Linked DNA regions of Canis lupus familiaris. The protein of the gene in region 2 purifies or fractionates together with the protein of the main gene of each other region. This does not show direct contact. Links are inferred from orthologs where the notes say so. Each region holds a gene or a part of one and is shown on either strand. Other genes may lie near its edges. The genes, in order: CAPZB, TWF1 and DBN1.

Region 1 (3,652 bases), on a different chromosome or scaffold from region 2:
TTGTGGATTCACCCAGGAGACAGATTCCTGGTCTCCTGCTTGTATGGTTTGAAATAGCGAGGAGCCCCCTGGATCTGCATCTCTCCCATTTCCACCTGCCGGTGGGGAACTCAGTCTGGCCCCTGGCGGGTTCTGTTCCTCCTCTGGCAACATCGCTGTCCTCTGGTCACCTGGGGCCCACGCTCCGTCCCGCAGACACGCTCCTGGCAGGGGGGTGGTGGCCGGGCCCCCTCCAGCCTCAAGCTCAGCGGCTCCCCCTCTGTGCTGCGCCCCGGAGCGCAGGGCCCTTGGACACGGCTCTGCCTTCTACCCCGCACGCCCCTGCGTCTCCAGCAGTCATGTCGTGCTCCTAGGTGCGTGTCCCTCCCTCCCGCCGCACTCATCTCTGACCACTCTCTGTAGATCTGTTGACGTAATCCCCGACCACCCCAAGTTTCAGCAGCTGCAGAGGGAGCTTTCCCAAGTGCTGACCCAGCGCCAGATCCACATCCAGCCTGATAACTAAGCCGACGCAGGTACCCTGCCTGAGAGGCGTGAGCACCCTCCCCACTAAACAGGACTCACCAACCCGCCGCCACCCCCGGACCAGCTGTGGCTGCGCGGTCCTCTAAACCACCACTAACCCCCGTGTCGGCTCACGGCTGTGGGCGGCCGCGGTAACACGTAGAGTCGGCCCCGTGTAACCCAGACCCGTATCACGTGTGTGCTGTGTGTGTGTCTTGCACTCTAGGCAGGGGTGGGTGTGGGGCAGAGACGGGGCTTGGCCCTGGCTCTGGAGGAAGCCCAGTCTGGGGATTAACCCTGCGTCTCCAGCAGAAGCCGCCTGTCTGCACCGCTCTGGTCTCAGAGCCGGGGTCTGGGCACAGCCTTCGCTCGGCCGCATGCCCCAGGGCAGCCTCCCCGAGCCCCCTCTCTGTGCACCAGAGCCTCTGGCCTCCCCACCAAGCATCCCAGAGGCCAGATGAGCCTTCTCCATGGGAAATGGACAGTTTGGGGCCGTGGCTTGTGAAAGGGGTGTGTGGCCCCGAGCCGGAGGCTAGAGCACAGAGCGGAGGCCAGAATCCCCCCGGCTGGGCTTGCTGCACCCCCAGACCGGTTGCTGCTGGAGCTGCTTGGACCGGCATAACCTTCTGCCCCTAACAAGCTGCGGCCGTCCTCTTAAACGCCTCACACTGACGGAAAGGAGCAAGTGTTGCTTGTTGACCACAGCTGTGAACCCCGACTTGAGCCCATGACAGATACAGATGGGGGAAAGCCCGCGTCCTGGGAGAGGAGGGAAACTTTTAATCCAAGGCACTCAGAAGCCCTCAGGGCAGGGCTAAGGGATTTCTGCCCAGACCAGGGACTGGCCACTGGAGGCCTGACCCAGAAGAGGCCCAGCAGGATTTCGGGGGAGCGGGGGGCATTGATGCAACCAGGCTCCTCTGTGTTCATGGGACTCCAGTGTGTCTGGGCCTCTGAGTGCCACCCTCACGCCTTGCGCTGGGACATCCCATTCCCATCGCAGCGAGAGGAAACCTTCTTAAGGCGTGCCGTGGTACTGCCGGCGTCTTCCCCAGCCTCTCAGCTTTTGTTGGGGGTGGGGTGGGGTGTAAAGTCTTCTAGAGCCCTGCCCTGGGTCAGTCCCTTGGCCACCCCCTGGAAGATTTCCAGCATAGAGCCCCCCCCCCCCCCCAGCAGCGGGCAGCCGGGCTCTCCGTGGGTCCAGGACACGTCCTCCTTCCCACTCTGAGCCACCAGTTCCTCTGGGCATTGATTGGACATTGCTTGGCAGTGACCTTTCCAGGCTGTGTCCCCCAAATTATATCTCCAGGCCATTCTGAGCCCAGTCTCCCGTGCCTTACCTAATCTCCCTCTGGTTCTAACTCTGGAACTTTCTCCCTTGTGGAGGTTGAGGACAGGGCCCAGGCCAGGCCTGGTGTGCTTGGCTGCTCCTTCCCAGAAGAGCCAGCACCCACGCAGGCCGGGGAACCGTGCGAGCTGTCGCTTCCTCCCCCCGGAAGCTTTTCCAGAAGCACATGGTGGGCCAAGAACCGAAGCCCGGGGCCACCAGGGCTGCCGTCTGACGCTTCCCTTTGCTACCGCTGAGCCGGGGCAGCCCAGGATGCTTGTTCAGAAACATTCCACCGAAAACCATGGCACTTCTCCTGAGAGTTTTTTAGTGGTTTACGGATCAGCTTATCTGTGCCACCCTCAGACTTGGGAGGCCACGTGCCATGATTTTTCTGGGATTCAGTAGCCAGAGCTCAGTTTGGGATGTTCTTGGTTCTCCCAGTTCTGGAAGTCGAGGATTCTTTTCTGCCCCGTCTTCCGGCCTTTTCACGGCCGATGCATTTCAAGCCTGAGATTCCTACGGGCCGCAGTGTCCACAGCTTTCCTGCCAGGCAGCCTGCACCCTTCCGTCACTGCTTCAAAACTGTTGAAAAGTTTATAAGAAGTTTAGCAACTTCTTGGTCAACACGTTGGGTCAGTTTGACAGAGCGACCTTTCAGGCCCTTGGAGGGGGGGCACTTCCCTGAGCCTCAGTTTCCTCGTCCGTGGATTGGGGACACCAGGAGGCCCCCCAGGATCTTTGAGGGGAATGAGAGCTGTGTGGGAAGCACTGTGTGCGCCGCCCGGCCTTTGCAGAGCTTAGCGGCCGCTTGCTCCGGTGCAGAGCTTAACGCCCGTGCGCAGGTGCACCGGTCCACACGGCCCCACAAATCCAGGATCGGACAGCAGGGACCCAGGGCCTCTCGTCTCCGTCCCATGCTGCCTCCTGAAATCCAGGCTGAGGGAGCTTCTCGGCCAAGTTCAGCTGACGGTGCCGCACAGCAGCAGGCTGCCCGCGCCTGCCCTTTGGGGCTCAGATGTCCAGAGGTTCTTAAGCGTTCGCTGCACCCTGCACCCTGCACTTGGGGGGTGAGCCGCGGGCCGCCTCTGCCGGGCAGGGGGGCGGTGAGGGGAGGCTCCCCGGCAGGGCCCCTGAAGCACGAGGGGCTCGGCTGCGTTGCTCTCGAAGCCCCGGAGCCACCCTCTGGCTCAGGCTGACTTGGGACCCGCGCCCGGAGGAGTGGATGGGGTTCGGTGACCCCAGGCGGGCCGTGCACGGAGGCCCGCGCCTCTCCAGCGCCCCCAGCCGACGTCAGCCCGGCGGCCCCACGGTCACCCGAGGAGGCAGCGTGACCCGGCCCTCGGGCCGCCGCTCCCCGCCACGCGCACTGACGCCCTCTTTCCCCCTCCCGGCAGGTCTGTGCAGACTTTCGCAGACAAATCAAAGCAAGAAGCTCTTAAGAACGACCTGGTGGAGGCCTTGAAGAGAAAGCAGCAGTGTTAGAGCCCCGCTCCGCTCGCTCCGGACACGCCACGCGCTCGGTAGAGTCCTTTCTTAGAAAACTCGTCTTCTGCCCCCGCCCCGCCCCGCCCCCACCAGGTCCCGTAACACCGGCATCGCGACCGCACAGCGCCATCTCCCCAGAATAAAGCCCAGTAAACACCCCTGTCTCCGAGGCCTACTTCCCACCACGTTTTGCTATCAGAACTCTCCTTGTTTCCAGAGCCCGTGTGCTTTTGTTTGCCCCAGCCCCCCCCGCCTCCCCTCCCTCCCCCCCTTTTTGTTACATTGGTGTAAAAAATGTAAAACAAAAAAATTTTATGAACTAACTGTGGTGTG
Region 2 (2,572 bases):
AAAAGTACAATTTTTCCCCTACTATGTATCAACATGGAATGATTTCAGTTCTCCTGTACTAAAAGCTGGACTTTTAAAAAACTAGTATTGTAATGCTTAATATAATGACTTTAATCAGCAGCGGCTTCACTTTCAGCTGGACCCCTTATAAGTCTTCGAATTCCTCTTTTTCCTGCAGGACCTTTTGGTTTTGCAAAACTTTGCTTATGTGCATGCTGCTTTGGGTGTACTTCTTCATAAAGGAAGTCTGCTGTCAACTCATCCCCATTGTCTATCTCAATCTGTAAGAGATGGAATTGGTAAAGTGTGATACTATACGAAAAAGACAACATTCAAAACCTAGTGCAACCATGGTGCCAGTTTTCAGGTGTAATAAATATGTAACACCTATTCTAGCAGGAGAGTATCAAGGACCATATGTAAATAGTTTCACTTCCACATTTTTTGGGGAGGGAAACCCCTCCCTGGGGTTGTGAGTTGCCTGAACACATAATCAGCAATAATCATTTTCTATTTGGTTCCTCTTTCTTCTTCTACCTAGTATATAAGAAGCCACCACTATATTCTCAAGTTGCTCTGCTTTGTTACACTATACATATCCAAGAAACATTATTCATTAGCGCCTTTGTTACTTGAGTCACTTGAAATTACTCTAGAACAGGGCCAAATTTAACCCAAATTAAGAGGTGCTTTACATTTTTACAGGGCTATAAACATAAAATAATAAAGCAAACAAGAGTATGTAACAAAGACCATATGTAGCCTGGTGAAACAGAGTATTTACTATCTGGTCTTATAGTAGAAAAAGTCAGCCAGTCCCTGCTATACCTTCAGATCTTAAAAAGCATAAAGAGAGAAAAAAAAAAAAAAAAAAAAAAGCATAAAGGGTTAGTACCCAATACACTGGCAGTTTGTAGGGATGTGTGTTTTAATGGGTTGAAGGGTTCAAGAATAAACCACATCTTTACCCATGCCTCATTTGCATTTAAGAAAATAAATTTAATTAAATTGGTAGCTTAGCTCCCCAAATGCAAATGTTTATGCCCATTCCCTCCTTACTCAACAAATAGATTCTCAACCATCCCATGGTTCAGTTACAAATGGAGATTCTAGTTCCTTATTAATAGCAAGTGTTGAGACAAGCACAGGTATGTAGATCTAGCAGCACTGTCCAGAATTTTCTGCAATATGGAAATGTTCTCTAAATTCTGCACTTTCCAATACAGTAGCCATAGCCACTTGTAGCTACAAACACTTGAAATATGGCCAGTGTGATTAAGAAACTGAATTTAAATTTTATTTAATTTTAATTTATATTTAAATTTAAATAGCCACATGTAGCTTAATGGCTGCATATTAGCATAGATCTATAAGGAGCCTGGAGCAATGATAGATCTTCCCCAGGCACTTAGAGTAAAGGAGACCCTGAAGATTTATGATGAGAACAAGAAAAAAATACTTTCATTAATAAATCATGATACATCATGAACTACATGAAAAAGACAATAAAGATCTAACAAATACTGAAATTTAAAAATAAATAGGTAATTTTACCTTTCTAATGACATCCATTTGTAGTTGTCTTTCTACAATTTCTAGCAGAGGGCTCTTGCAGCTAGAATATAACATCCGTTCTCTTATACTGCATGTGTATCCAGGCATTGAATAAATAAAAACTGTAAGTCAAAATAATAAATACAATTAGCATTACAACAATTAAAGCAAATACTAAACTTCACAGAATTATAGCTAAGTCTTCTGGGCAAGAGTGAGAATACAGTGTTAAAATACCAAAAAGCCAACTGAAAGTAACATGTTAAAGCAATATACTATATACCTATGGACTCCAAATAGTCTCCTTCATGGGAATGTTTATACAGGAAGAAATGGTAACGTGCTGAATCCTTGGGAATCCTCTTTGGCAAATCTTTTAGTTCTGTATTTGTTGTGTTGGCCAAAATTATAATTTCATTTTTTATATCTATTTCCTGTCAATAAGAAATAGCTTCATTAAAACAGATACACAGCAATTTAAAAATTGTAATAAAAAAAACTAGCAGAGGGACGCCTGGGTGGCTCAGCGGTTTAGCGCCTGCCTTCAGCCCTGGGCGTGATCCCGGGGTCCTGGGATCAGGTCCCATGTCGGGCTCCCTGCATGGAGCCTGCTTCTCCCTCTGCCTGTGTCTCTGCCTCTCTCTGTCTCTCTCGTGAATGAGTAAATAAAATATTTAAAAACAAAACAGAACAAAAAAACCTAGCAGACAAGGGGAAACTTACACAGGTTTGACTTTTCACAGTGAACATACATTGTCTTGTAGTTTTAAGAAAATGAATTTAAAAAAATCAGGAAACAAAACAATTTTAAATCCATTAAAAATAAACCTTATATGAACCATGAGACACCAGAAAGGACTGCCATTTCATAATTATCATGTCTCTTACCAATTGCACATAGTTGAGCTGTCTGTTACTTAATTTTTCCAAAGCCTGAAAAGCTTCTCGAGAAATAGGAAATGCTACTCCTTGTAGTGTTTGATGCTTAGTGTCCACACCCACGTCAGTTTGTACCTAA
Region 3 (3,652 bases), on a different chromosome or scaffold from region 2:
TGTAGCTTAAGTGTTCTTGGATCTCCTACCCCAGTACCTAGCCAGCCACATGCCTATCATTGCTGCCTTGATCTTCGCATCATGACCGAGAGCTTCCCATTAGTCACCTGCCTCCTTGCTCTTCTCTCATACAAGGATCTTTCCTAAATCCAAATGAGACCATGAATTTCCCTAGCTTAAAATCCCTTGGCGGGTTTCTCAAGAGTATAGTGAGTACTAGCTGACTAAGGCCCACAGAAGGCTTTTGTGTTGTGTCTCCAGTTTCTCTTAAAATGCCAGAAGCCCTGGCAACAATGGACACGCCCCAAAGCAACTACTGGCCAGAGCAGCGCTGCAGGAGCCCTCAACCCAGGCACCTCAACCCAGGCATGTGCTATCCCGTTTGCTGCAGTCCCCACCACAAGTGCATTCCCTAGTGCACTTTACCAGCCAGCTGCACTACAGTTTAGAGGCTGCGACCCCAGGAATAAAGATAGACAGGAGTTCCTTGCGTGTCCCCTGTTCCCCTTCCCCTTGTCTGATCTAGTCCATCACCTCTCTAACACTCACACACCCTTTAAGATGTAACCACAAAGTCCTCAACACGATGCAGTCAGAGTTCCTGGAATGTGCACATCATCTCCCCCCTCCCGTGCCTCTGCATGGAAGATCAATCTCTTGCCCCAAGTGCCCATCTCCCAGCCCAGGTCCAACTCTTCCCACTTCCATCCTCAGCCTGGATACTGCCTCCTGGAGAAGTGGTCCCTCGCCCATTCAGGTCATTTTGGGGTCTCCATGAGGTATTCTAGGCACACACCACAGATTACACAGTATCATAACTTCCTTTTTCTGGGCTCACTGCCCCTATCCTCTGTGGTGACACAGAACAAGAAGTGAGATCCAGCACAAGGTTCTGCTGGCATGTGTTTGCTCAACTGAACTCACTACATCAAAGCTTTTTAATTGGTGCTGCTCCTGCTGCCACTGTGGCTGATGGGGCAGGAGGGACTGAGTGCAGAGGGGAGGAGAGGCTGCAGGTAAGGTGGGGGACTTACAGAGCTTCTCTGCTTTGTGCATGTAATCTAAACTCAAACTTTGCTCTCAGGATACATTAAGAGAATGGCCTATCAAAGCATCCCCCTCAAGAGGGTTGTCATTCCAACCACAACTCTGCGTTCTTCCAGAATGAAGTCTCAAGTCCTCCTCTGACCTAGCTCTCTTTCCAATCCAATTTCCCTTGCTCTTCAGCTGACTGGGCTCCAGCCAGGCTCCTTGCCTTCCCATAAATTACATCCCACCAGCCTTTGCTGGTGTTCAGCACCGCCTAGTGTGACCTCACTAGATGCCTTTGCCTCATTCAAAAAAAGGACTAGAGGCAAGCTCACCACAAAAGCCTTAACTACTAACGACGTGCAAAAGATTGAAACAAATTACGGGTACTGGGTAGGAAAAGCGAGATCAACACACTAATCACATGGTCAGAAGCACTGCTGTGCCTGAGTGTTTTCAGATACGTGGGGGCTCCCTGACCGCTCAGGCAGAAAGGGAACCTAGGCAAGGAACGCAATTCTTAAGCAGAACAACAGCTTAAACAAAGAGACAGCATGTTATGGTTCTAAATTCCAAAGTTGTCACGAGACCTTCTTTAGAGGACCTGAAGTGGTAGGATCACCACACTGACCTGCTTGAATATCCACTGTCACTACCCTATGAGCCACACCTGAAGGGCCGGGTATAAGACTTTGCCTGAAACGTTGACAACTGGTGTAGATGAGTGATCACTTCAGGGGAATGCACTATTACTGTTCTTTCTACCTTTGCGTGTCTGTATGTGAAATTCTCTATAAAGCAAGCTTTTTCAAAACGACCTTGCTCTGAATGGATAAACAAAATGCGGTGTATACGTACAAAGGAATGTTATTAGCCTTAAAAAGGAAGACCTTCTGACACATGGATGAACCTTGAAGACACCGCACTAGGTGAAATAACCTAGTCACAAAAGGACAAATATTACGATTCCATTCAAATGAGGTACTTAAGAGTAGTCAAATTCACGGAAAGTAGAAAGGCAGTTGCCAGGGACCTGGGGGAGAAGAGAATGGGGAGTTAATGTTTAATGCGGACAGAGTTTCAATATGGAAAGATGAAAAAAATTGGAGATAAACAGTGATGATAGTTGTACAATGTAAATATGTTGGGAATCTTAATGCCACTAAACTGTATACTTAAAAATGGTTAAGATGGCACATTTTATGGACATTCTGGCACAATTCAAAATAAACTGATTCATCAATTACTTTTTAAAAAAGTTTTGCCCATCTTGCTCTCCACTGTTTCTAACACCTGGTACCCGGCAGGTGGCAAAGGTGTGCTGAATGAACAACTGTAGCTGGAGCTCACTAACCACACATCTCCACCCCCAGCGCTGATGTGACTGCAATGAACTCTGACAGCCACTTCATACCACAGTCGGCATGGCTGTCGGGTCTCCTCCCTCCCAGCCTCCTGCGGGGGTGACCCTCCTGGAGCTCATCTGGGTCCTCATGGCAAAACTGGCCATCACTAATCCACATGAGTACTGCCCACCTCCCACTCAGAACTCTACCATGCTCCACCCTAAATGACCTTGGCTATTTCTGAAATACAAAATTCAATTCAAAGCATGAAGACTCAACCCCAGGATGCTTCTGTGGGCCACCCCCAGTGTGTAGAGGTACGAGAACACCCCTAGAACTATACACACTTGTGTATAGATGCTCAGAACATGGGCCCAAACTCCTTCGTGTGGCTCTGCAGCACAACTGTGGTGGGGACCAGGTTTCCAGCCCCTCCAAAGTGCAGGAAGTGTGTCTAACCCACCCCAAGCTTCTCAGGCTCCACTGGGAGGAGGAGTTGGGGGGGAGGGGCAGGTCAGTGAGGGACTGGGTCAAGACAGATTTTCTCTTTCAGTCTACAAAATAAACTTCTCCAAGGAAGTCTCTTTCCACAGCCCAGGAACAGAGACCCACATGATTGGGTGGCAGGCCTGACACTCTGTGACACTCCCATGCCCATGCAGAGGTACTCCGAACACCCAGAACAGTCGTCAAGCCACTGATAACCAGCTCCTCCCAGGCCCACCCCCCTCAACAGAGGCCCAGTAACACAGGGACTATTCTCACTTCCCCTAACCAGGAGACTGGGAGCCCCAAACAAAAACTTACAAAGATAGACTGTTCCTTCAACCGTCGCTTGGCCTCCTCAGCTTCTAAAGTCTGCTGTTTCCTCCTGGAATGATAAGCGGGCATGCATACCTCAGGGTGGGTCCACATGCAGCCTGGAGCAAGTGGCCTAGGGTGGGGGCAGGGCCAACCTGTGCTCCTCGATCTGCTGTTCCCGTTCTCGGTAGCGCCGTTCCCGCTCCTCCTGCTCCTGACGTTCCTGCTCCATCCGTTCTTGCTCAAACCGGAGTCTCTCATCCAGGGCCTTCTTCCGCTCCTCCTCCTTCCTCAGCTCTTCCTCCTTCTGCAACCCCCCACACCAAGGCAGTGCAGGCCCTGAGCTGGGGCCCGCCCCTGCCCCTCCAGCCCCTCCCCAACACAAGATTGGGGAGGTTCTGTTTCTGGGAAGTTCAGCCCAATATGGCTCCCTCTTTCAGCTGGGGTAGCACACGAGATGGGACACACTGCTTAAG

Evidence for each region.
Region 1: the proteins of TWF1 (region 2) and CAPZB purify together in Homo sapiens (affinity purification with mass spectrometry; 3 studies listed by BioGRID and IntAct, with this or other methods). This does not show direct contact. The link is inferred for Canis lupus familiaris from reciprocal best matches to the Homo sapiens genes TWF1 and CAPZB.
Region 3: the proteins of TWF1 (region 2) and DBN1 purify together in Homo sapiens (affinity purification with mass spectrometry; 3 studies listed by BioGRID and IntAct, with this or other methods). This does not show direct contact. The link is inferred for Canis lupus familiaris from reciprocal best matches to the Homo sapiens genes TWF1 and DBN1.

What each region holds. Positions count from the first base shown.
Region 1 is NC_049223.1:78,771,115-78,774,766, forward strand, and holds part of CAPZB (F-actin-capping protein subunit beta), read left to right. Parts: intron 1-402; coding exon 403-505; 3' UTR 506-515; intron 516-3,228; coding exon of another isoform or gene 3,229-3,316; 3' UTR 3,317-3,652. UniProt on the Homo sapiens protein: F-actin-capping proteins bind in a Ca(2+)-independent manner to the fast growing ends of actin filaments (barbed end) thereby blocking the exchange of subunits at these ends.
Region 2 is NC_049248.1:36,256,042-36,258,613, forward strand, and holds part of TWF1 (twinfilin-1), read right to left. Parts: intron 2,569-2,572; coding exon 2,443-2,568; intron 1,989-2,442; coding exon 1,838-1,988; intron 1,677-1,837; coding exon 1,555-1,676; intron 282-1,554; coding exon 111-281; 3' UTR 1-110. UniProt on the Homo sapiens protein: Actin-binding protein involved in motile and morphological processes. Inhibits actin polymerization, likely by sequestering G-actin. By capping the barbed ends of filaments, it also regulates motility.
Region 3 is NC_049225.1:36,792,306-36,795,957, reverse strand, and holds part of DBN1 (drebrin), read right to left. Parts: intron 3,484-3,652; coding exon 3,332-3,483; intron 3,247-3,331; coding exon 3,183-3,246; intron 1-3,182. UniProt on the Homo sapiens protein: Actin cytoskeleton-organizing protein that plays a role in the formation of cell projections. Required for actin polymerization at immunological synapses (IS) and for the recruitment of the chemokine receptor CXCR4 to IS.